Linked DNA regions of Xenopus tropicalis. The protein of the gene in region 2 purifies or fractionates together with the protein of the main gene of each other region. This does not show direct contact. Links are inferred from orthologs where the notes say so. Each region holds a gene or a part of one and is shown on either strand. Other genes may lie near its edges.

The links.
Region 1: the proteins of rfc4 (region 2) and hnrnpu fractionate together in Homo sapiens (co-fractionation; 3 studies listed by BioGRID and IntAct, with this or other methods). This does not show direct contact. The link is inferred for Xenopus tropicalis from reciprocal best matches to the Homo sapiens genes RFC4 and HNRNPU.
Region 3: the proteins of rfc4 (region 2) and atad5 purify together in Homo sapiens (affinity purification with mass spectrometry; 5 studies listed by BioGRID and IntAct, counting the BioPlex papers as one, with this or other methods). This does not show direct contact. The link is inferred for Xenopus tropicalis from reciprocal best matches to the Homo sapiens genes RFC4 and ATAD5.

What each region holds. Positions count from the first base shown.
Region 1 is NC_030681.2:44,498,297-44,506,471, forward strand, and holds part of hnrnpu (heterogeneous nuclear ribonucleoprotein U), read right to left. Parts: 5' UTR 8,152-8,175; coding exon 7,569-8,151; intron 5,114-7,568; coding exon 5,014-5,113; intron 4,943-5,013; coding exon 4,869-4,942; intron 3,798-4,868; coding exon 3,658-3,797; intron 3,567-3,657; coding exon 3,467-3,566; intron 2,761-3,466; coding exon 2,648-2,760; intron 2,487-2,647; coding exon 2,223-2,486; intron 1,636-2,222; coding exon 1,516-1,635; intron 1,425-1,515; coding exon 1,299-1,424; intron 294-1,298; coding exon 125-293; intron 1-124. UniProt on the Homo sapiens protein: DNA- and RNA-binding protein involved in several cellular processes such as nuclear chromatin organization, telomere-length regulation, transcription, mRNA alternative splicing and stability, Xist-mediated transcriptional silencing and mitotic cell progression.
Region 2 is NC_030681.2:105,884,296-105,892,968, forward strand, and holds the start of rfc4 (replication factor C subunit 4), read left to right. Parts: upstream 1-2,701; 5' UTR 2,702-2,715; intron 2,716-4,082; 5' UTR 4,083-4,092; coding exon 4,093-4,220; intron 4,221-7,361; coding exon 7,362-7,440; intron 7,441-8,568; coding exon 8,569-8,648; intron 8,649-8,673. UniProt on the Homo sapiens protein: Subunit of the replication factor C (RFC) complex which acts during elongation of primed DNA templates by DNA polymerases delta and epsilon, and is necessary for ATP-dependent loading of proliferating cell nuclear antigen (PCNA) onto primed DNA.
Region 3 is NC_030686.2:51,946,821-51,954,297, reverse strand, and holds part of atad5 (ATPase family AAA domain-containing protein 5), read left to right. Parts: intron 1-152; coding exon 153-249; intron 250-334; coding exon 335-411; intron 412-579; coding exon 580-722; intron 723-1,804; coding exon 1,805-1,955; intron 1,956-2,189; coding exon 2,190-2,360; intron 2,361-2,836; coding exon 2,837-2,973; intron 2,974-3,132; coding exon 3,133-3,226; intron 3,227-3,559; coding exon 3,560-3,624; intron 3,625-3,715; coding exon 3,716-3,899; intron 3,900-4,064; coding exon 4,065-4,180; intron 4,181-4,588; coding exon 4,589-5,376; intron 5,377-5,583; coding exon 5,584-5,742; intron 5,743-7,477. UniProt on the Homo sapiens protein: Has an important role in DNA replication and in maintaining genome integrity during replication stress.

The sequences.
Region 1 (8,175 bases), about 61 Mb from region 2:
AGTAAAGTAGAAATTAGAGACCAATAACAAGTTTGTGTCAGATCATAGCATAGAAGCCATAAGCTCTGAAAAACTGCCTTGCGAAGAGGCTCAATGGCGATCAAGAACATGGAAATCTACTTACCTTTCATTTTGAGAACTGCATGTTCTGGAAGATCTTTGCCTTCCACCTCAGATTTTTTCTGTGTTCTCTCTTTATATAACTCGTCTGTTGGGCAAACAACAACTGCTTTGCGTTGGAAGCCAGCAAACAAGCACATTTTCCTTCTCTGTGCAGCTACTGACACATTTGTCTGCAAAAGAGAAAAGAAATGTCAAACAAAAAAATGTTAACTTTAGGAAGGCAAAGCTGGAACACTTTGCACCACTCAACACAAGAAACAAATCAGTTTGATAGTGTATGTACACACACACTACAGCTTAAACCTGATGAAAGGCAGAGGGGCCTTGTATGATTACAAATAGATTTTGCTGTTCTGGTTATTATTAGAAAACTATTAAGGCACCTTAGTAGCCTTATGGCAGGGTGCTCCATTTTGTATAAAGACTCCCTGGTGCTAAGTATTTTGTACAATATATTCCACACCTGTACTTAAAATACTGCATTTAAAGGTTAGAAAGCTCAAGGTGTCTTAATTACTATAGCTTATATTTCAGTTATAAGTTTTATACAAAGTGAGGTAAAATGGACTTATTTCTATTGAAAAAAAAAAAGCCCTGTATGCTGAAAGCAAGGTTTGTTATTGTATTAATAATTATCATATTAACATGTGAAATTATGGATCACTTTAAAGAATTGTTTGCCTTTAAAATATTTTCACTCCCACTGTTTTCTAATAGATCAGAAATAACTTGACATTCTAATACTAAAATTTAAAGTTTCATTTTTCACCTTTTGAATAATTCCTTTACTTATGCAAAAACTTCAGATTTTTTTTAAATTGTTACAATATGCTACATTAGTTAATAACATTTCTAATTACCAACCTCAATTACTGAGGTTCTTCTGAGAAAAGGTTAACTTGTATTTTACTTCTATAGACTATGGTAAGTTTTCTGAAATTTTTACTAGCCAACGGTAAATATACAATTTATTTATATTTAAAAGCATACATGACTAAAATTAATTATATTTTTTATTTAACAAAATATAGAAGACAGCAGGTTTCTAAACAAAGTTTAACAATTGCCTGAAAGCAGAAAACACTGCCGGTCAAGGTATGTCTCTCTAAGGCCCTGTATAAAAATGGCAATATAAATAATATATATATATATATATATATAAAAAAAAAACTTACCTGATCCAAGATAAAATGCCTTTTTTTGCGAGCAGCAATCTCAATAAATTTGCTTAGGCACTGTGGGGCCCTCTGCAGCAAAGCATTTAACTTTCCAGTGTCAGACATTTGCTTTTTGCAGCCAACCTACAAAGAAAAGGGTTTTAAAGTAAAAATGTCAAGAAAAAAAAAAAAAAAAAAAGGTTAACATACCAAAATTATATATTAGGATTCTTACCGTCATCTTTTCCATAATAGTGTTCGTTCCAAGTATGTTGTATTTGCCAGGGTTTTGTTCAGTATGATTAGTTACCCATGTTGTTTTTCCAGCACCTGGCAAGCCAATCATCATTATAACCTTTAAAAAAAAAAAAAACATATTTGCTCTGAATGTAATAAATGTATTTGTATTCTTAATTCTAAAAAAAAGAGCACATATTAAGCATTATGACACGAATAACCATATCACTATACCACACATAAAAACACAAGATAAATTAACCAACAAGAGTTCCAATGAAGTTTAACAGTAACTGTCCTTGGCAAGCGTGTGTATCACTTATCTTCAACCTAGTAAAGATTTTATTATCCAGTATTTAAATAGCACCAACATGATCAGTGTTAATCATGAGCAATTAACCTGCCTGTATGAGTGTGGAAGAAATCCCACACAGAAACAGAGAACATGCAAACATGCCAAGGCCAGATGAACTCAGCACTAGCACAAGGCAGAAGTGCTTGGACACCCTTCTGCCTAATTTGCTTTGAGGAGCACTACAGAGCAGTGATCTTAGAGTATCTGCAACAATAAGCACTGGCTAAATGTCTTTCCAGTTCTCCCACCTATAGTTTACACCCAAAACCAGACAACATGAATTGAAAGATGCAAAAAGAGGGAGAAGAAAAAAAAACTGTTCTCTTCAGTTTACTTTCAAATATACTTACTTCACAATCCTGCTTTTGTTCTGGCCCCAGAGGTGCTCTGACTCTGTCCTCTAAAGGAACGTTCTGAATTAATGTATAGCCTTCAGGGATAGAAAAAAATGGTTCTGCCATTTGCCCAAAGTTGAATTCTACGGCACAGTTGTGGCAGAGAATGTGTGGGAAGAGAGCCTGCTCCAATATGGTATCTTTGTTAATCTTAAAAGCAACTCCAAGGTCTTGGCCATTTTTTGCATAAGAAAGTTCTATTTCATCTTCTTCAAAATTCTGCAACAGAAAAAAACCAGTGAAGATCAAAATTAGTGTCCCCACTTTTAAATGCTAACCCAATCAAAAGCAAGATATTTCATTATACTTTGCCAAATTTAAAAGAACTCCAACTGTAGCACACAAGATGTTTTAATGGGAATTAAACATGAATTACTCACAGCACAGCAAGTGATCACATCATTCTCATCATATTTCTCTCCATAATCCTCAGCAACACCATTGCAACATTTTGCTGCTTTGAGAGAATAACCATAGGAATTTTCCTCCTCCCCTAGTAAAGCAAAAATAAAATTGTATTAGGCTGTTAATGTATTTGTTTTCCAAATTATAATACAGATATGGTAACTTTTGCCATGAAACCAGTTATTCAGAAAGATACAAATTAAAGGAAGGCCATATCCCATAAAGTTGTTTTGTTTTTTTTTTACTAATTCCACTTTCAAAACCAGCAACTTGTTCTTGATCATAACTAAGCTGTATGAATCTATATTTGCAACCAAACAATTATAGCAGATTTAATTTTTTAAATATTTAGCAGTTTAAAGTATGCTAATTCAAAATTATGAAAACCCCAGTTGTCTTGGATAACATAACTTCATGGACATGCTGGCTATATAATGAGAAGGCATTTTTAGGATTTATTTTTATGCAAATCCCTCATAACATTTCTGAGCAGTGACTGTTAAATGTGTTTCAAGACTGACAGACCTAATTTAAAAGGCATATTAAATGGATCATTAACAGGTTATATTTAATCTTTATGTGAAGTTCTGCAAAAAGTCAAAAATTGTAAACACAACCTCAAGAGGAATGGAAAACCAACTTAGAAATATTGCATTATTCAATGCCAAAGAGGCTGGATGGCCTACTTCAAAATTCTAGCTAGAAAGACAGATAAGGTCTGCTGGCATGAAGGATACCTATAGCCTAGCAAACTTTATTAATAGGGATATATTCTCCCTTTACTATCTACATACCGAGCATGTATCCACAGGAGCTCAATGACCAGCCAACACGAACTTCATGAACATCTGTTTCTTTTGTATATACATGTTTAACTGGAATCTTTTCAGTTACCTAGGGGGTAGAAAATAAGTTTGATTGGTTAAAAAGTAAAATTTAACAGTTGTCGGTTCGAGACAGCTTTTGCATTTGTAAGTGCACTTACCTTCATCTCGAAACAAACTTTCCCCTTTAATACACCGTAAGTGGCTCTCCCTCCAGCCCAGAGAAGTGCAAAGCTCTCCATGGTAAGTGATGATGCACTTAAGCGATCACGAGAAATTTTGAAGTGAAGATCACAGTTATCTATAAAATATGATTATGGATAGACAACATCTTAGCTGAGAAGCTATACACAGCACCTACATACAATACGGCATGGTTAAAAAGTCTCTATACATTATCAAAAGAAAGGGTTATAAAGTCTTCAGACAGACATGTACTGGCCAAATGATCACATCTACGCTGGTCCAAACATCTACGCTGGTCCAAACATCTACGCTGGTCCAAACATCTACGCTGGTCCAAACATCTACGCTGGTCCAAACATCTACGCTGGTCCAAACATCTACGCTGGTCCAAACATCTACGCTGGTCCAAACATCTACGCTGGTCCAAACATCTACGCTGGTCCAAACATCTACGCTGGTCCAAACATCTACGCTGGTCCAAACATCTACGCTGGTCCAAACATCTACGCTGGTCCAAACATCTACGCTGGTCCAAACATCTACGCTGGTCCAAACATCTACGCTGGTCCAAACATCTACGCTGGTCCAAACATCTACGCTGGTCCAAACATCTACGCTGGTCCAAACATCTACGCTGGTCCAAACATCTACGCTGGTCCAAACATCTACGCTGGTCCAAACATCTACGCTGGTCCAAACATCTACGCTGGTCCAAACATCTACGCTGGTCCAAACATCTACGCTGGTCCAAACATCTACGCTGGTCCAAACATCTACGCTGGTCCAAACATCTACGCTGGTCCAAACATCTACGCTGGTCCAAACATCTACGCTGGTCCAAACATCTACGCTGGTCCAAACATCTACGCTGGTCCACCGGGGAATGCGGAAATGCAGCGTGAATGCGTATGTGATGCAGCATACGTACGCATTCACACAGCACTTCCTCATCCCAACTTCATCGCGGTCCATCAGAAATCCACGGAGGATCGACTGGTGGACCGCGATCAATGTATTGGCCACCCCTGGTCTAAACAGAGCCCTGGGATGACTGGGTGGCCGGCACAACCAAATTGAAAATTCTTTTGGGTTTTTTTAAAACTGACAACAGAAAAGCAGATAATACATTATCCTGGGTACATTAATGAACACGGTTTTCCCAAATAACTTAATCTGAAAGACTTACAAGTATCAAGAAGTACCATGGTATCATCCAACTTCTCATCTTCTTCATCAACTGGTGGTTGAGGAGACTTTGCCCTGAAATAAGAATATAGTTAAAGCCATGTAAAAATGCAAAGTAGAATGGCACTGGACAAAACTGTACCTACCTGCTATATTTATTTTCTTCAATATATTCAAAATAGCCACGACCATGGTCCTCACGTGGCCTTTTCACACCCCTTTTCTTCTCTTTTGGATCTTTTCCATCTAGAAATAAGAATGTGAAGCTATAAACCACATCCATACACTTACAATGAAACACTTGCAGCTATTCTTACATGATCAAGAAATTAAATCCAATGTAATTCTCACAGACTAACTTCACAAGTAGCAAGTACAGTATTTATCTCCACAAGCACAAAATGAGATTGTTTTTATCATTAATGTGCAGGTATGGCATCCTTTATCAGGAACAGTTTTCCAGAATTCTCCAAATTATGTGAAGGCCATCTTCTATGGTGTTAATTTTAAGCAAATATAATTGTTAAATAAAATTTCCTTACTCTGTAATAATAAAAATGCACCTTGTACTTGATGGTAACTAAGCTACGTGAATCCATGTTGGTGGCAAAACAATCCTATTGCATTTATTTAATTTTATAATTCATTTTTGCAGACAAGGTATGGAGATCCAAATAATCCTTTATACGTAAAACCCCAGTTCCCAAGCATTCCAGTTAACACAGCCTACTCCTGTAATAGTCTGCATAACCTGCAGAGCTGTAAAATACATATCTATACTTTAATGTCCTAAGTATGGCTGAATGCCTGCTTGACTTATCACCCCAAAACACTCAAAATTACCCCAATCACTTTCAGTATGACAGGCCAACAGTCGCTTGGTTCAGTCTATCAATTATTGCTGGAAGCTGCCATGTGTGCCATTAACTCAAGCATCTCTTTGGTTTCAGACAAAATGATGATCTATTGTTAATTCAATTACATACTACTCTTGTATTTGTATTTCCACCCTCTTTTCCAGTTTTTTTTTTTGCTCAGCAGGAGGAAAATCTATACCCAACAAGTCAAGACAGACAAAAAACTGTTTTAGTCTCAGTGCACACAATGTTCTACACAGTATGTGTATGTCGAACTAATATGAAATTGAAAGTAAGAGCACATGCACAAATGTTTAGCCTAACAAAATGTTCTACTTGGTGGAATTCTGTAGTGGCTTTTTATGTGGCCAGAAGGCAAATAGCAAAGGACTACTACAACAAAGTTCCTGTCTGCTTTTCAGGTTTCTAAGATCACATACAAGAGGTCACTGGAGTGTAAGCCAGCCTCTGGGGGAATCTGTATTCCAGCAAACAGATAAATAAATGCATTCCTCTATGAATGAGTTCATGAATGTTGAAGTCAGATATAAGGCTCATTTTTCAGCAGCCCTACAATTGGAGTGTCTGTGCAGCTAGGGAAACGAGCTTGGGGGGCATGCAAGGCGACCCAACATTCCCTTTGTGCTTTCCACTGTTCTATTTTGGGATACTACTTCCTGTTTCTCCTCAGTACCTTTCAGCCCAACGACTTACTTACAAGGCTATTCTAATGCTGTACTGCTTGATGCTTCTTTGCAAATATAGTACCAGATTTATATGCCACACACCTCCAATCAACCCACAAGGATGCATTTACAACCTAGTAATATCAAGGGAGTAGGTTTATTAAAAGTTTGGGGGGGGGGGGGGGGGGGGGGGGGGCTAGTGGCAGTACTGCAATACAGGCTGACAGATTTAGAAACAATGGACATGCAGGATCCTTGGAACTTACAAACTTTTTCCCAATCTGTGTGACTAAGCTACTGGGGCCATAAACATGCAATCCTAAGCGCCTTTGGAAAACACATTAATTTTATTGTGTGAAAATATAAATTGCTACTGAAAAGCGGTATTTATTCTTGCAATCTTGATCAGGTGGTTTCTGATACATTGTTGCTGAAGTCAGAACCAGATGTGCATAGTATTAACAGCCACACAGATACTAATGGCAACAGTAAATACTTTTACAAATACCTTTGTGGAAAATGTTTAATGCAATTACTTTTTTGAAATTGGGTGGAGAACTCATTTAAAAAAAAACACATTTCACTTGCACAAAATGGCAGAGTTGTGTAAGCACCCTGTATTAATTCAATGGAGACTAACATGATGGAGATAACGCCACACAGATCAGCGTTAAACAGCGATAAACTAACCCGGAGAGCCCACTAGGCCTTACAGAGTACAACAAAAGAGAAAACCACAAAAGGCACTCAAGCGGATCCCTAAGAGACAATAATGGCTGCGCCGCCCACACAAGCAGGAGCAGCAGGTGCGTTAGCAGAGCCGCACTCCCTAACATGGGGGCAGGGAAGCCCCTCCCCGAGCAGTGACGCGCTCAGCCCGCCGCCGCCACAATCATTCCAGGAGGAGACGTGACAAGATGGGCGCGCAGTACGCGCACCCCTAGCGCCAACCCCCTTTGTCAGCGGTACTCGGCAATAACCATTTACACGGCGGGAACAAGAGCGCTAGCATTTTATACAAGTCAACAAGGCCGTGGCCTACCACCTCCCACATACAAAATACTCAAGGGGTCACTAATTTTACGAGGCGTTGTGGTAACATAGCGGATGTAATAAAACCGCGCTGCACTATAATATCGAAAAATAAAAGTGTCGTACCCTCCATAAACTCACCGCTCCTCCCGGGGCCGCCCGTCTCTTCGCACTTTATGGCCATTAGTGGTTGTGGGCCGCTGGGCGCACTCTCGCTTTCCTCCTTCTCTTGATCTTGCCCGTTCTCTCCGATAGCCGCTTCCGCATCATCTTCTTCCTCCAGTCCAACCGGAATGCCTTCATCTTCTTCCTCTTCTTCCTCCTCCTCCTCATCTCCCTCCTGGAAACCCTGATCGTCTCCGTTCTCATCTCCTTGCTCTGCTTCAGGTACCTCCTCGCCGGGTACCTCCTCGTCGGGCGCCTCCTCATCGGCCCCATCGCCTCCGTTTTCTCCTCCTAGCTCCATTCCTTCTTCTTCTTCCTCCTCTTCGTCTTCTCCGGTTGCACCTTGTTCGGGATCGCCCAAATCCTCGGCCTCATCAGGGACCGCCACTCCCCCTCCTCCAGAAGCGCTTCCCTCCTCGTCCAGCGCAGCTTGCAGTCTCTCCATCAGATCGGCCTTCAGCCCTTTATCGCTAAGGTTCCTCTTCTTCAGCTCTTCCTTTAGCTCGGATACCTTGAGCTTCTTCACGTTTATCGGGGAACTCATTGTGCCGGTCAGCTGTGCGTGCTA
Region 2 (8,673 bases):
GACATCAACTGCCATTCCAGCATCAAGGTTCCTACTCACCTCCTCATAAAAGGCAACTAAATTAGTCTGGCAAGATCTGTTACGCATAAAACCATGCTGGCACAAACTAATAGTATTGTGAACTGCAATGTATTCAAGTACCCTATCCCTTATTACCCCTTCCAAAAGTTTTCCTACTACTGATGTCAGACTAACAGGCCTATAGTTTTCAGGCTGAGAACGGGATCCCTTTTTAAATAACGGCACCACATTAGCAATCCGCCAGTCTCTTGGCACCATGCCAGACCTCAATGAATCCTGAAAAATTAAGTGAAGAGGTTTGGCAATCACAGCGCTCAGCTCATTTAATACCCTGGGATGAATCCCATCCGGCCCTGGACCTTTGTTTACCTTTACATGTTCAAGTCTCTTTTGAATTTCCTCCCGAGTGACCCATGCGTCAGTAGCTAAATTACTAGAACTGGGCATATTACAAGGGAAGCCTTCATTATCTGGCTCCTCAGATGTATAGACAGATGAAAAATAAGAGTTCAAAATTTCAGCTTTTTCCCCGTTTTCATCAACCAACGTACCCCCCCGTGATAATAAAGTTCCCACCCCTTCTTGCTTCATTTTTTTACTATTCACATAATTAAAAAATAATTTTGGATTCTTTTTACTCCTAGCTGCAATATCCCTTTCCATCTCTGTTTTAGCTTGCCTGATAGCTTTTTTGCATGCTTTATTTGCTTCCTTGTACCTGATGAAAGCCCCCGCTGTCCCAGCTAACTTGAATGCCCTAAAAGCACGTTTTTTCTTACCAACCTCGACAATAACACTTTTATTCAGCCATAAAGGTTTTGCTTTGCGATGCCTCTCCTTGCTTACTAGGGGGATATACTGTTGTGTATACCTACAAAGCAATGTTTTAAAGATGTTCCATTTTCCTTCTGTGTCTAACCCCATGAAAAGCCTTTCCCAGTTGACACATTGCAGAGATGCCCTTATACTGGCAAAGTCTGCACGTCTAAAATTGAGTGTTTTAGTTACTCCCTTATAGCGCTGTCTCTGCAGCATTATCTCAAAGGAGACCATGTTGTGATCACTGTTCCCCAAATGCTCACCCACACAAATGTTAGAGATAAGTTCATTATTATTAGAAATCACCAGGTCCAAAATAGCGTCATTCCTAGTGGGTTCTTGAACTGCCTGAAATAAAAAGTTGTCATTTAGCATATTTACAAACCTACTAGCTTTTTCTGACTTAGCCACCCCATTACTCCAGTCAATGTCCGGATAATTAAAGTCCCCCATAACAACAACTTGACCCAGTTTTGAAGCCTCCTCCATTTGCAACAATAGCTGGGCCTCATCCCCCTCATCTATACGGGGTGGTTTATAACATACACCAATGATCATTTTCTTTGTGACCTTCAGCCCTACTGAAATTTCTACCCAAAGAGATTCGACGTTTTCATTGGTAATGTCTTTATTACATGGCTTTAAGTCTGACTTTACGTAAAGACAAACCCCTCCACCCTTTTTAATCTCTCTGTCCCTCCTAAAAAGTGTATAACCATTTAAATTCACAGCCCAGTCGCATTTATCATCCCACCAGGTCTCAGTGATACCTATTAAATCATAATTTTCAATACATGCAATAGCTTGCAGCTCCCCTAATTTACCCGACAAGCTACGCGCATTAGCCAGCATGCAGCGGAGATTATTACTTCTCCCTCTGATGTTTACATTAGCTAAGGGAGAATTAGAGCTAAGGCAATTATGAGACTGCTTTCCTTGTAACGGAAGCTCCTTATCTGATAAACTATATGCCCCCCTCACTCCTCCCCCACAACCCTTTGCTAGTCCCCCTACCCCGTCTACACTAATTTTCCCATGGAATTCTAGCTCACCCACCCCCCCCTTGTCTAGTTTAAACACTCCTCCAACCTCTTAACCATTCTCTCCCCTAGCACAGCAGACCCCCTTCCATTGAGGTGCAATCCGTCAGGGCTGTATAGATTGTACCCCAAGGAAAAGTCAGCCCAGTGCTCTAGGAACCCAAACCCTTCCTTCCTACACCAAGACTTTAGCCACGCATTTAGCTCCCTAAGCTCCCGCTGTCTCCCTAAACTTGCACGTGGCACCGGCAAAATTTCCGAAAAAATGACATTGGAGGACCTTTGCCTAATCTTAGAGCCTAGATCCCTGACTCCTGGAAATAAACTGTTACCTGTGATTGAGACATTATATAAGCATAAAGGTTTTTGCAACGTAGATCTGAGCGTGAGACTGTTACTGTAACTACATGTTCAGAAAAAAATAAACGTGAAATAAACAAATAGAAATTAAAATGATGACAATTTCACTTGCCCCTAGTTTGCACAAAACCTATTTGGTCAGATTGGGAGAAGGCTCTGATTGCCACAGGTACGGTTACCAAACAGCAAAAAGTATAGTTTCTTGGTTCTCTGGCAGTGAGTTTGAACTGCAAGCAGAAACTATAATATAAGTATTATTTTCTTTCACAAAAGTAGGAGGCACGACTTAACAAAACAGAATGTGACAGGACCCGCCGCCACTTACTAGCAGCGCCTGACTGTAAAACGCCGAATTACGCCTACTTGTCACTCCCACAAGGCGGCTACGTGATTGCGTCACTGCGCTTGCGTGTAGTTGTCCCGCGTTCTGTAACACAGTAGGCTGAGAGGCTGCAGCTACATTTTCGCGGGAGGTGTAAGTAGCGTTCCGGGCCTGCTGATTGCAATAGGAAAATTGGGACTGTTGGGCTGTATTGGGAAGAGTGGGACTTCTGAATAGTATGAAAGCTGAGTAGGGGAAAGAACATGCAGGCACCCTAGCAACCACACTCTTGAAGTCTGTAGCTTACTGACAGCTAGGGGCCCGGTGGTACAAGTAAATGCAGTACAGCCGGGGCTGATGCTGGCCCAATGTATTCATTAAAAGTTTTCAGTGTTTAAACTTAATTTCTAAATGTAATTGCCATTGAGATCAGTGTTTGGCTACTTTTCTGTACTGGTGTTTCTGACTGTTGAGACAGAGTAGCAGAAGCAAGCTAATTAACAGACCTGTTGACTGAAAACAGATCTGACGGCTGTTAAATTTCGATAACAGCAAAATGTATAACTACTGGAGAAAATGTTAAATTAATATATATAAATAAGTGTTCACTCAGACACTTGCTAAGTAATGTTGCATGAAAATGCATCTTTATTGTTGTCTGCTATCCTTGCACGTTGCTCTGTCAAGAAAAACTAAAGTTTATTTGGTTTTTCTTCATTTCAAATCCCCCTGCTGAACCACAGCATTGCCCTGCTTGAACTGTTTTAGTGGCCAGAATATAGAGCTCTGTAACAGGATTCTCAGTCACCACATGGCCCATGTCACGTCTGGTTGGCCACTTGTATCACTGATGTTTGACCCAGGCTGTAAGCCTGTGATCTCCAATCAGTAACTGAACTTGGATGTTGCTCTCAGTGCCCCCAAACCAGGTAGTTATTTTTGAACTTGGGGGCAAGTTTTGGTTGAATAAAAACAAGATTTACTACCAAATAAAGCTCCCTGTAAGCTGATAGTGTGCATAGAGGCTGCCTAATAGCCAATCTTAGCCCTTATTTGCCACCTCCATGAACTTTTATGATGCTTGTGTTGCTCCCCAAGTCTTTTTACATTTGACTGTGGCTCACGAGTTTGGGGACCCCCTGCTGTGCCCTGCAAAGTTATTAGTTGTAGAACTGACATTTCTAAGAATGATATTGTATAACAACAGGAACAGTGCTGATTTTAAAGCTACTGACATATTTCCAATATTACATAAATAATGATATATGTGCAACTCTGTTCTAGTTAGGGCTGTCAACCTAAAAACATAGATAAAAAGTGCATTTTATATCTCTTATCAGCACTAGTTAAAATTAGCTGCCTTCCACAAGTAATGTTGGCAATTGACCAAGATACTTATGTTGGTGGAAATACTTTTTCAGTTGTTACTATCATTGTAAATAAGCATGTATATATAATACATTTTGATTTGCATTATAATTCATAAGTCATATACATAGTCCTTGCTACTATTTTTACAGAGCTGTCACAATGCAGGCTTTTCTAAAAGGAGGAACATCTATCAGCACCAAGCCTGTGAAAGATAAAGCATCTGCATCTGGCACAGGGAGCACCGGGGAAAGCAAAAAACAGAAGCCTGTTCCATGGGTGGAAAAATAGTAATGATTGTTTAAAGCATACAATTGATAATGCTGTTACATGCTTTAAGTTGATTACAATTTTTTTTCCAAAATACAGCTTGTTAGTATTTGAGTTGAGTTGGATTATTAGCTGGACAGCTTTTTTTAATTAGCACATATAGTGTTTTATGTGAGACTTCCTTTTAAACTAAATACCTAGGGGCCCATTTATCAATATACAATTCCAAATCACGAAATACGATGATCACAAATGTCACAAATTCTTTTCATTTCAATACGAAAATTTCGTGCTTACGATCTGAAAGTTCCGAAATTTTTGGATTGAAGCGATCGTTTGCGTATGGCGATCCTATAGTCACAAAAATGACGTATCCCAACAATCGTAAACAGTGAAAAACCCTTTCTAACTTTGACACTTCAATGCATGATGTGGGAAGCTTTCCAAAGGACTCAGTGGCACTCTGCAGCTCCAACCTGGCCAGAAGAAAGTCACGATACTGAAGCTTGAATGAATTCCGAAACCTTCGTACTCGTTGCGACAAATACGATTTTGTTGCACAAATTGTTGCAACGCACAAAAAAGTTGCGGAAATTAACAAAAACATTTTGGAAAATACTCGGTTATATAAATTAGAAAAGATATGATATTTTTGTAATTGTAACCATTTGTATATTGATAAATAGGCCCCCTAGTGTTTCTTTTGAGGTATCAGTGCTAATTTGCACAATAAAAAAGAAATGTATATTCTTTTGCATGACACAGTTTAGTGAATACACATAAAGACTGGAAATTTGTGATTTATTTTGGAAAATGTTGTTTTTTTTTTTTCTTTTTTTGGTATTTCCTGGTACAATGGGCCTGTGTACTTTTCCTTAAGCATAGTTTTCTGCCTCTGATATTCCCTTTTTCCCCATGAGAAAATAGAAAATATAAGTTCAAGGACAAGGAAGGTTATCATTTAATAGGACTTCATCAGCAACAGCTCACACATACTTTCAATCACCTGGGTAGGGGTTAGAAGAAGGACTAACATGACACTGCTGCATTTTTTGTGTTGTGCTAAACTCTTGTAGACTTGGGCCAGATCATGCACACAACAGAGATTCTGAGCCCTGCAAAGTAATTCTTCTGGGTGCTGTCCTGTGGGGATTAAAAAGCACGTGCACACTTCTGTCCACATCAAATGGTCGACCACAAAATTAAGAAAACTATATTATATTCTATATCTGAAGACTGGGGAAGGATTATTGTTAGAAAGAAAGTGGCATTTTAAGAAAGCACGAGGAGCACTATCATTGGGTAGTAAGTGCTTAAGATTTAAAGGACAAGTCCATAGAACTGTTCAAACTGAAACTTGAAACAACAAGCTAAATCTTCTCCTTGAATCGTTAAAGGACAAGGAAAACTACATTCACAAAGTGGGGGGGGGAGGTGCCAGTTTCTTAGCCTTCCTTCATTGAAATAATTAATGTACTTTTTTCCCTGGGCTGCTTCTGTGTAAAAAAAAATGTTTAAAAAAGTTTATATGATATGCTGATGGTTTATATTGTTGGCAACTTGTATAAGTTTTTATTTTGCTTTTTCATTAGCTCTGTTGAGGAGTATTTTGTTATTATAAGCCAGACTGCTGTAAAGTTATTTTAAAGAAAAGCTAAAGCTTATTTAAATGTGCTTACAAAAACTGCATAATTAATAAGAGAAAATTTAGCGATAAACTGTATTATAGTGAAACTTCAATTTTACATGCCCTGATTTTAAGTTTTCGTGCATTTTAGACTATTGTTTTGTGGTCCCACTAATATATAGCACATAATAAACTTCCATGATTTTACATTTTCCCAGAATTTGCACCATTTTTTTCTGGTCCCATGAAAAACTTAAAATGGGGTGAAAATAACTCCCTATCCACACACAAAAGTCTCTTGTTGCATAGTTTATTTTAAAATTGCCTACATATTAAGCAGTGCTATAGAGTGCGTTGGGCAGAATAAAAATAATAACACAAGCATAAACAAATCAAAAAAAGGCCTCCCTCAAAGTGCTTACAGGTGCTAATTTACTAATAAAAATTGATCTATGCAGTAACCAACAGTAAACAATAAGCAACTAGTTACAAGTTTGAAAATGAAATCAACAAGCTTATTGGTTATTCTGGGTAACTGCACTGGTGCATATAGCACCCATCTTAATAAATCAGCCCCATAGCCTTTTGCATTTGTGCCTAACAAAGTTATGGGTGTTTAGATCATTCTGTTTACCTTCTTTGCTGCTTTTGGTACCCTTCAATATTGTGACATCATAACATAACCAGTTTGGCATGCATATGTTCACATCTACACGTGGATACCACTTAAGCTTGCGCAGATCTTTTGATGTGACTGATTACAAGCACAAAGACCGCAGTCGTGTGCAGTGTCACACAAGGTTATATTTCTGGGCTTTAGTTGCTGCTTCAATAATTATAAGTTAAGTTTCTTAAATTCACTTAATATGAACTACAGGTTCTGTTAAATTTCTCATGGACAGTAATACTGACACATCTGAAATATGTTTATGAGGTTGGTTCATATTGGGTTTCTGAGTTTAGTTTATTTTTATATATAATATATATATGTGTGTGTGTTCAGTGTATAAACCCATTTATTGTACAGCACTATGGAATATTTGGTGCTTTATAGGTATATGTTAATAATAATGTTATTGGGCAGCAAACATTGTACAGTATTGAATGTAAAATTATAATGTAAATAGCCACTGGCCATTAGAGGGCACTGTGAGAACATATTTAGAAAGATGTCTGTGAAGATTTTTTTTTTTTTTTACTTTATACAACACAGATTGTCCTGTCTTCTGCTTGTGTTTTTTGGTTTATTTATAGCACTTTCATAATTGTTGTGGTTGACTCCTCATCTTTGTATTTTCTGTTGAACTGGGTCTTTATATGTCCAAAATTAGGCACCTTCAGAAGATTCCTGATATAATGATACTGGTATAGCTAGTATAGAGAAGGTAAAACATACTCAGGTGCAGTTTGCTGTTCTCACAAAGCTATATCGTAGTTTATTATGAGTTCAGTGATTCTGATTTCCTTATTTGTTTTAATTTTTAGAAAAAGCTTTTGCTTGCTTTATAAACATTTCCTGTATATTTCTATGCAGCCGACCCAAATGTGTAGATGAGGTTGCCTTTCAAGAAGAAGTTGTTGCTGTACTAAAAAAATCACTGGAAGGTGCAGATGTAAGTTAGATTCCTATAAATTTCTTTCTTCATTGTGATGAAAATTTAATATGAACAAGTACAGAATTTTTCTAGACTACTCAGGACCTGGGGTTTTTAAAAAAAGAGATCTTTCTGTAATATGGAGCAACATACTGTTTCTGCTAAAAATTATGTAAACATTAAATAATCCAAGTAGGATTGTTTTGCCACCAATAAGGATTGATGCAGCTTTGTTCAAATCAAGTACAAGGTACTGTTTTATTACAGAAAAAAAGAGTATCACTCCTAAAAATTTTAATTTTTTGCTTATTATGGGGCCTATGTGAGAAGGCCTTCCTGTATTCCGGAACTTTCTGAAACCACGCACAGTGCTGGTTGTTTTAATATGGAACGAGAGTGCTGCATGCTTTCTATAAATATAGTAGTTCGCTATCCAAAGCATTAGGGCCTGCTTAGAAAAGCAAAATGTAAATGCCAGTTGTAATTTTAGTACTGATTATGTAAGGAGTACAGAACGTTATCATGTCACAAAGACTTCAGCTAAGAGTTTTTTTTTCTCCTTGAATAGACTGTTGTGAAAGGAGTTTATTGCATGGAATGTTCTTCCATACGCTTAACTTTTTTTTTTAATTAAAATTCTTACTTTTTGAAAATAAAACTTGTGATAGTTGATGGGTTGTTGGGCAGATGTATGTGACATTTTGCTTGCTACCATCTACTATTTCCTAATTTGTTCTGTGTTAGAGACAGAGCTGCCATTAGCGGGGTACAGTTGGTATTGCTGTAGAAGCCCAGTGGCAGAAGGGGCCCCAAAAGAGACAAAGTGTCATTTAAAATAGTAAAGGGGTGGGGTTCGGGGAGGGGAATAATAGTTGGGTTGTTTTAAGGTGGATGTTTTAACTAGCAACTGTGTCTCTTCTACCAAAAAGTAGATTATATATAGTTGCTCAATTATCGCTTCCACACATTTTTCTCTCTCCTTGTTTGATCTTCAACATCAAAAAAACAGAAATGCATATTATATTGCAGTTTAAACAATTCTCTGTTATACATTTACGTTTAAGTTCTGTCACAGTTCCTTGAAAATAAGGTTATTGTGTATATAAATAATTGTAAACAAAATGTCATGTTATTTTTGTTCTTTAGCTCCCAAACCTATTATTTTATGGCCCACCTGGCACTGGAAAAACATCAACAATTTTGGCAGCATCCAGGGAACTCTATGGGTATGTTACAGTAGGCAATGGAACA
Region 3 (7,477 bases), on a different chromosome or scaffold from region 2:
ATCAGCAAACTGTGCACACACGCACAACAGAGACAGGCTAGCCCCCCCCCCCCCCCTGGTCCTTGCAGTGCCAGAAGAATCTAGGCTTTCATTTTACTAATTCACAGTTTGTTTCCTTATTAGAAATCTGGTGATTCTCTTCTTTGCATTAGATGCTGTGTGTGACGATGTCCTGTGGACAGAGAAGTATCAGCCGCAGAATACTAGCGAAATGATTGGCAATTCTGCAGCCATTCAGAAGTTATATAGGTAAGGAATGATCCATTCTTCTGGTTGTTGTATTTAGCCATTGCGGTACTGTTTGATAACCAGTCTCCCTATGGCCTTTCTACAGCTGGCTTAAAGACTGGAAAGTCAGAGCCGACAAGGAGGAGAGAAGTCAGATGCAAAAGACAGAGAAAGAGAAATCGGGTATTTCCTACAGTTAGAGTTGCTTGTCTGTGTGCATTGTAGGATAGACACGTTGTGGGCACCATTTGGGAATAGTTGGGTTGGTCCGATATGGTGGAGCTGATACATGCAAGTTTTTGTTTAATTAGTAACAGTGCAGGCCTTAAGTGCTTCTTTCTCGTTACAAAGACACCTGGGAGCAGAGTGACTTTATGACGTTGGACTCCGATAGCGAAGAGGAGTCTCTCTGTAACACAGTACTGATCACAGGCCCTCCCGGAGTGGGTAAAACAGCAGCAGTATATGCATGTGCCCAAGAGCTTGGCTTCAAGGTAAATAAACCGGCTGCTATGCCAGGCCTGTGCCGTATCCTTCTATTTGTCTGTGTGAGAGCCTTTCTATCCCTCCCGGAGTGGGTAAAACAGCAGCAGTGTGTGCCCAAGAGCTTGGCTTAAAGGTAAATAAACCGGCTGCTATGCCAGGCCTGTGCCGTATCCTTCTATTTGTCTGTGTGAGAGCCTTTCTATCCCTCCCGGAGTGGGTAAAACAGCAGCAGTGTGTGCCCAAGAGCTTGGCTTCAAGGTAAATAAACCGGCTGCTATGCCAGGCCTGTGCCGTATCCTTCTATTTGTCTGTGTGAGAGCCTTTCTATCCCTCCCGGAGTGGGTAAAACAGCAGCAGCATGTGCCCAAGAGCTTGGCTTAAAGGTAAATAAACCGGCTGCTATGCCAGGCCTGTGCCGTATCCTTCTATTTGTCTGTGTGAGAGCCTTTCTATCCCTCCCGGAGTGGGTAAAACAGCAGCAGTGTGTGCCCAAGAGCTTGGCTTAAAGGTAAATAAACCGGCTGCTATGCCAGGCCTGTGCCGTATCCTTCTATTTGTCTGTGTGAGAGCCTTTCTATCCCTCCCGGAGTGGGTAAAACAGCAGCAGTGTGTGCCCAAGAGCTTGGCTTAAAGGTAAATAAACTGGCTGCTATGCCAGGCCTGTGCCGTATCCTTCTATTTGTCTGTGTGAGAGCCTTTCTATCCCTCCCGGAGTGGGTAAAACAGCAGCAGTGTGTGCCCAAGAGCTTGGCTTAAAGGTAAATAAACCGGCTGCTATGCCAGGCCTGTGCCGTATCCTTCTATTTGTCTGTGTGAGAGCCTTTCTATCCCTCCCGGAGTGGGTAAAACAGCAGCAGTGTGTGCCCAAGAGCTTGGCTTAAAGGTAAATAAACTGGCTGCTATGCCAGGCCTGTGCCGTATCCTTCTATTTGTCTGTGTGAGAGCCTTTCTAACCCTCCCGGAGTGGGTAAAACAGCAGCAGTGTGTGCCCAAGAGCTTGGCTTAAAGGTAAATAAACTGGCTGCTATGCCAGGCCTGTGCCGTATCCTTCTATTTGTCTGTGTGAGAGCCTTTCTAACCCTCTCTCTAGGTATTTGAAGTAAACGCATCATGCCAGCGCAGTGGGAGGCAGATCTTGGCACAGCTAAAGGAAGCCACACAGTCTCACCAAGTGGATCAGCAAGGGGCGAACTCCCACAAACCATGTTTCTTTAGCAGTTTCAGCTCCACAAAGTCTCCCAGTAAGTGAGGTTGTGCATGGCCCTGTTATCACACTAAGTAGACTGGCGATGAATAGAAGAACAAGTGAGGCACTACCCACTGGGCGAGGCACTATGCTCACTCAGCGTTAGGTGCCACTGACCACAGCAATCAGTCATTTCATATTTCAGCTTAAAGCCTGATCTGAAAGGCAAATACATACAGAGTCAGTTGCATATTGTCCCAGATTGTTATCTACCCTTTTTCACTTTAAGGAAAACTGAACTCTCCAAAGAATGTGGTTTCATCCCCAAGGAAACCGCCGGCCTCGCCCAGAGGCACAGGACTTAGAAAAGGGCTGGCACCAAAGTCTCTGGCAAATTTTTTCAAACCGCCTGCTAATAAGAGGACCGAAGAGAAACCCAATGCTGCAGAGGCTTCTAAAGGTACTGACTAACAACGGGCCGGGGGCTAAAGGGCATGTGGCAACTGGGTGCTATTACAGATCTGTGGGCTGCACTCAAACCATGGCCTCTAGTGTCCAGTTGTCAGACATGGCGGGATGCTTTCCTAGTTTTACCAGGGCATTACTGTGAAAGGCCAAATCATTTCCTTATTGTAGTTATTTGGCTTTATCTAACATCTCCGAGCAACCTCGCCCTATGGTTGGGCTTAGTGACCTTATAGGAAGGAGAGTAGTACTGCCCACCTGTATCTCACTCTTTCTGTGCTTACAGGCTCCCTTATTAGGGGACTTAGAATAGTAGAGCCAATCAGTGTGCCCATCTGTTGTGCTACTTAAAGTAAGGAGATGGTTAGGGCCCACCTGTATCTGTTATGCAGTCCCCTTATCAATATGCACTTGGAACAGTAATAATGAGGTTACATATCTGCAGTTAACAGGCCTATGTGCATTTTGCAGGAGTTGCCAAGGGTACGCTCAGACTGAGGGAAGCCGAAACTAAGCCACATAAGAGTCAAGATGCAACTGCAGAAAAAGAATCTGGATCAGAGGAAAAACACAGAAAATTTGCTACCTCACTTATTCTATTTGAAGAGGTATATTCACTTATTCATTATAAAGCTAAGTTGCCCCACACAGCGCTAATGCAGGGGCTCCTGTAATGGTGGTACCTGGGGCCCCTGCTGCTCTGTGGGATCTGGCAAGTTCCTGACTGGTCTGGCAACACTGCCCTCTCCTCTGTGTTATCATTGCAGGTAGATGTAATATTTGATGATGATGTTGGATTTGTGAGTGCGATCAAGACTTTCATGAGCACCACAAAGCGGCCGGTGATTCTCACCACGAGCGGTAAGCCCAGCCCCACGGCTGTTCTTTTGCCCAAGGTGCCAAATGAATCCACTGAATACTTAGTACTTACAGAGAATCTGCATACTGGGCCACTCTGTATATTTGTATATAGAACATTGTGCAAAGGCAGGGTACCTTGTGAATCGGCTGCTTCTGCAAATGGGGTGTGACTAGTAGAAGGCATACATTCTGTTAAAAAATATACTATTTAGGTAGTTTAGACACGAGCCAGTAGCCATTAAACATAGCAGCCAGTAGGGGAAGAAAGTCTTCCCTGGACAGGAAGTAACTATTCTCTCATTGTGTCCCCTTCCTATTGTGTCCCCCTTCTAGATCCTACATTTGGCTTCATGTTTGATGGCATCTTTGAAGATATTCATTTTAAAGCCCCTTCAATGGTAAGTTGCCTATTAAGGTCAGATGGTGGGTTCACATATAATGGGGGGTTCAGGGGCAGTTTGGGTTTGGACAATGTTCTTATTTTTACAGACCAATGTTGCCACTTACTTGCAAGTTCTTTGCTTGGCTGAAAACCTCAGAACAGAAACAAAGGATTTTCTTACATTTCTATCTGCCAATAAGTGTGACATCAGGCAGAGCCTTCTCCATCTGCAGTTTTGGGCCAGTAGTGGGGGGGGCGCACTGATAGAAAAGCCACCGCCGCAACTCTGCCGTAAGTACCTACCCGCCTCTTCTGTAATGTACATGTATGTGTGACCCAAGGGGGGCAATCCCGCACTAGATAAACTGGGGTTCTGTTTGTTTTGTTGGGGCTGCATGTGGATTCTTTCCATTGATGTCTGTTGTGCCATTTAATGCTGTTTCTCTCCTGTACAAGGCCAGCAGGGCGGCCCAATCACTGAGCTCCCAACATGCAACATTGGCTGCACAGAGAGTTTCATGGGTCTTAATAACATCATTTCACCGACAGAGGGTCTTCTGTCCTTTATAAAGGTGAGTGACTTTGATTTGCCTTTCAATTAACCCTGTATTATCTGTACTGAGTGGTGCAACTCACAGCCCCAGCTGCACTCACTAATCACATTCCCTAAGGTTTTCTGTCATTTCTCTAACTTTCTGCTGTGTCTGCACTAACTTTCATGTGTTTTATCTGTTACCCCAATGTTTCTATATATCTGTAACCTTGTTATGGGCTAAGGGGGCCCACCCTGAAGGCCAGTTAGGGGGGGATTTGGGGTGAGGGCTTATTTGTGCCCTGGGGAGCACGGTGACACCCCACAGTCCCTGTATATCTGTACAAATACACGTATATATTACACATACCGCCTGTACTCTAACAAACTGTATGTATATCCAGCAATTCCTGTTGTGCAGTTCATATGATATATTTTCTCCCTTTAGAATACCCAGAAACAAGAAGGGAATGTGCTTCAGCAGCTGCTTACTGAGTTCCAGTTGAACAATGTGTATTTTACACTAAGCAATTTGGAATTCCTTCTTCCACTGCCAGTTCATGTTGGCCCACCAGCTGTGCCCCTGGAGAGCTCAGAGTGCCCCCCAGCAGGGCTACAGCAGAATGGCACGGCTGATGAGAGCCCAATGAAAATGTCGGTGCAGATGAAAAAGAGAAAGAAGCTCCTAATCCTGAACGACAGTGATTTGTTTGATAGTGACTCTGTGGATGAAATATTTAGCTTGGTATCTGGTGTTCAATCCCAAAAGGAGGCAGAACAGAAAGGCCCCCCTGTAGCTGATAGAGGGGAATGTGGGGCACACCCTGCCTCTGAAAGGCACAGACAGGAGGGGCAGAAGGCCTCAGTGCACCACTGCCTGGGCTCGCTTGCAGACTTTGTGGATAATATGTCCCAGATAGACTGCTTTACATGTAATCCCATGGACCGAGCAGAGCTTTGTAATGGCAACTGGACTGAAAGTCGGATAAAAGATGGTTTGTGTGATGGGCTCAGGCTAGAGACCAGGGACTGGAGCAACAGGCAGAGCTCTGGGGAAGTCAGAGCAACCATAGAAGCTCTTGCCTTTCAGAAGTGTTTGTCTAACCTGTCGGCAGCCATTGCTCCATCACCGGAAACCTGCACAACATCCAGCCACCCCCCCACTGAGGCACTCACTCTGCACGTGTCTGAAGAGAGGGGTAATGTCTGCTTCTGCCAGGGGGAAACCAGCTCCAGGTAATTCTTATTCCTCTGACTAAAAGCATTTTACTGCCTTTGAAATGAGTAAAAGTATAGCATGGGCAGGGGTGTGGGGCAGGTGTAGGGAGACGTCGGGGTGTGGGGCAGGCGTGGGGAGATGGTGAGGGTACAGCGAGGCAGGTGGGGGGAAATAAAACCAGCTTGGAGAGAAACAGCCCCTCCATTGTACTGTTTGTGTTGCAGTGTGGCAGAGAAGCGTCTGGCTGTGGTTCGGACAGTTCTGTCCAGCAGATCTTTCTTCAGTCTGGGCAACAGGCAGTGCAATGTAACGGAGTACCTACCCGCCCTGCGCTCTATGTGCCGCTCCCAACGACTGAAAGAGCAAGAGAAAACTAAGAGAAGGTGGGTGCCCTATTCTCACACAGCACTTCACAAACTGCAGGGGGTGCTACTCAGCCTGCTTACAGCAGTGATCCACAACCAGCGGCTCGGGGGGAACCCCTTGGATATTGCTCCCAGTGGCCTCAAAGCTGGGGCTTATTTTTAGATTGCTGGCTTTGAGGGAAGTACACCCAGGTGTACTGCCAGACTGAACCTCCTGTAGGCTGCCGGCACCCATAGGGGTTATCACATAGCCCATTGTAGCCCTTATTTGGCACCCCCAGGAATAGTTCTCATGTATGTGTTGCTCCCCAACTCTCTTTACATCTGAATGTGGCTCACAGGTCAAAAAGGTTGGGGGTCCCTGGGTTACAGGAAACGCAGCTTGGCGGCAGCGGCGGGACACCTACAGCAACCTTTTATTGGGGGTCCCTGGGTTACAGGAAACACAGCTTGGCGGCAGCGGCACACCTACAGCAACCTTTTATTGGGGGTCCCTGGGTTACAGGAAACACAGCTTGGCGGCAGCGGCGGGACACCTGCAGCAACCTTTTATTGGGGGTCCCTGGGTTACAGGAAACACAGCTTGGCGGCAGCGGCGGGACACCTACAGCAACCTTTTATTGGGGGTCCCTGTGTTACAGGAAACACAGCTTGGCGGCAGCGGCACACCTACAGCAACCTTTTATTGGGGGTCCCTGGGTTACAGGAAACACAGCTTGGCGGCAGCGGCGGGACACCTACAGCAACCTTTTATTGGGGGTCCCTGGGTTACAGGAAACACAGCTTGGTGGCAGCGGCGGGACACCTACAGCAACCTTTTATTGGGGGTCCCTGGGTTACAGGAAACACAGCTTGGCGGCAGCGGCGGGACACCTACAGCAACCTTTTATTGGGGGTCCCTGGGTTACAGGAAACACAGCTTGGCGGCAGCGGCGGGACACCTACAGCAACCTTTTATTGGGGGTCCCTGGGTTACAGGAAACACAGCTTGGCGGCAGCGGCGGGACACCTACAGCAACCTTTATTGGGGGTCCCTGGGTTACAGGAAACACAGCTTGGCGGCAGCGGCGGGACACCTACAGCAACCTTTTATTGGGGGTCCCTGGGTTACAGGAAACACAGCTTGGCGGCAGCGGCGGGACACCTACAGCAACCTTTTATTGGGGGTCCCTGGGTTACAGGAAACGCAGCTTGGCGGCAGTGGCGGGACACCTACAGCAACCTTTTATTGGGGGTCCCTGGGTTACAGGAAACACAGCTTGGCGGCAGCGGCGGGACACCTACAGCAACCTTTTATTGGGGGTCCCTGGGTTACAGGAAACACAGCTTGGCGGCAGCGGCGGGACACCTACAGCAACCTTTTATTGGGGGTCCCTGGGTTACAGGAAACACAGCTTGGCGGCAGCGGCGGGACACCTACAGCAACCTTTCATTGAAATCCTTTAACATCTTTGAAAATTGAAAAGCCGAGTAGCTGTCAGTGAGCCAATAGTGGGTTACTGACTAGTAACGAGTGGCTATTTCTGTTACTGTTCCTATTGCCACTGCAGTAAGTTCCGTTCTAGTGGCTTCTAGTAGTTATTGTGCTGGAACTTTCCCTGCAACCAATAGTAGCATTTATGGAACAAGTAATGCTACTATTGCAAGTCGTTACATATTTGTGTCTGACTTACACATCGTGCCCCCCATATTATACTGTAGTGCAAGGGTTTTCTCTTCTAATAATACTCAGCCTGCCCTGAATCTGCCCAAT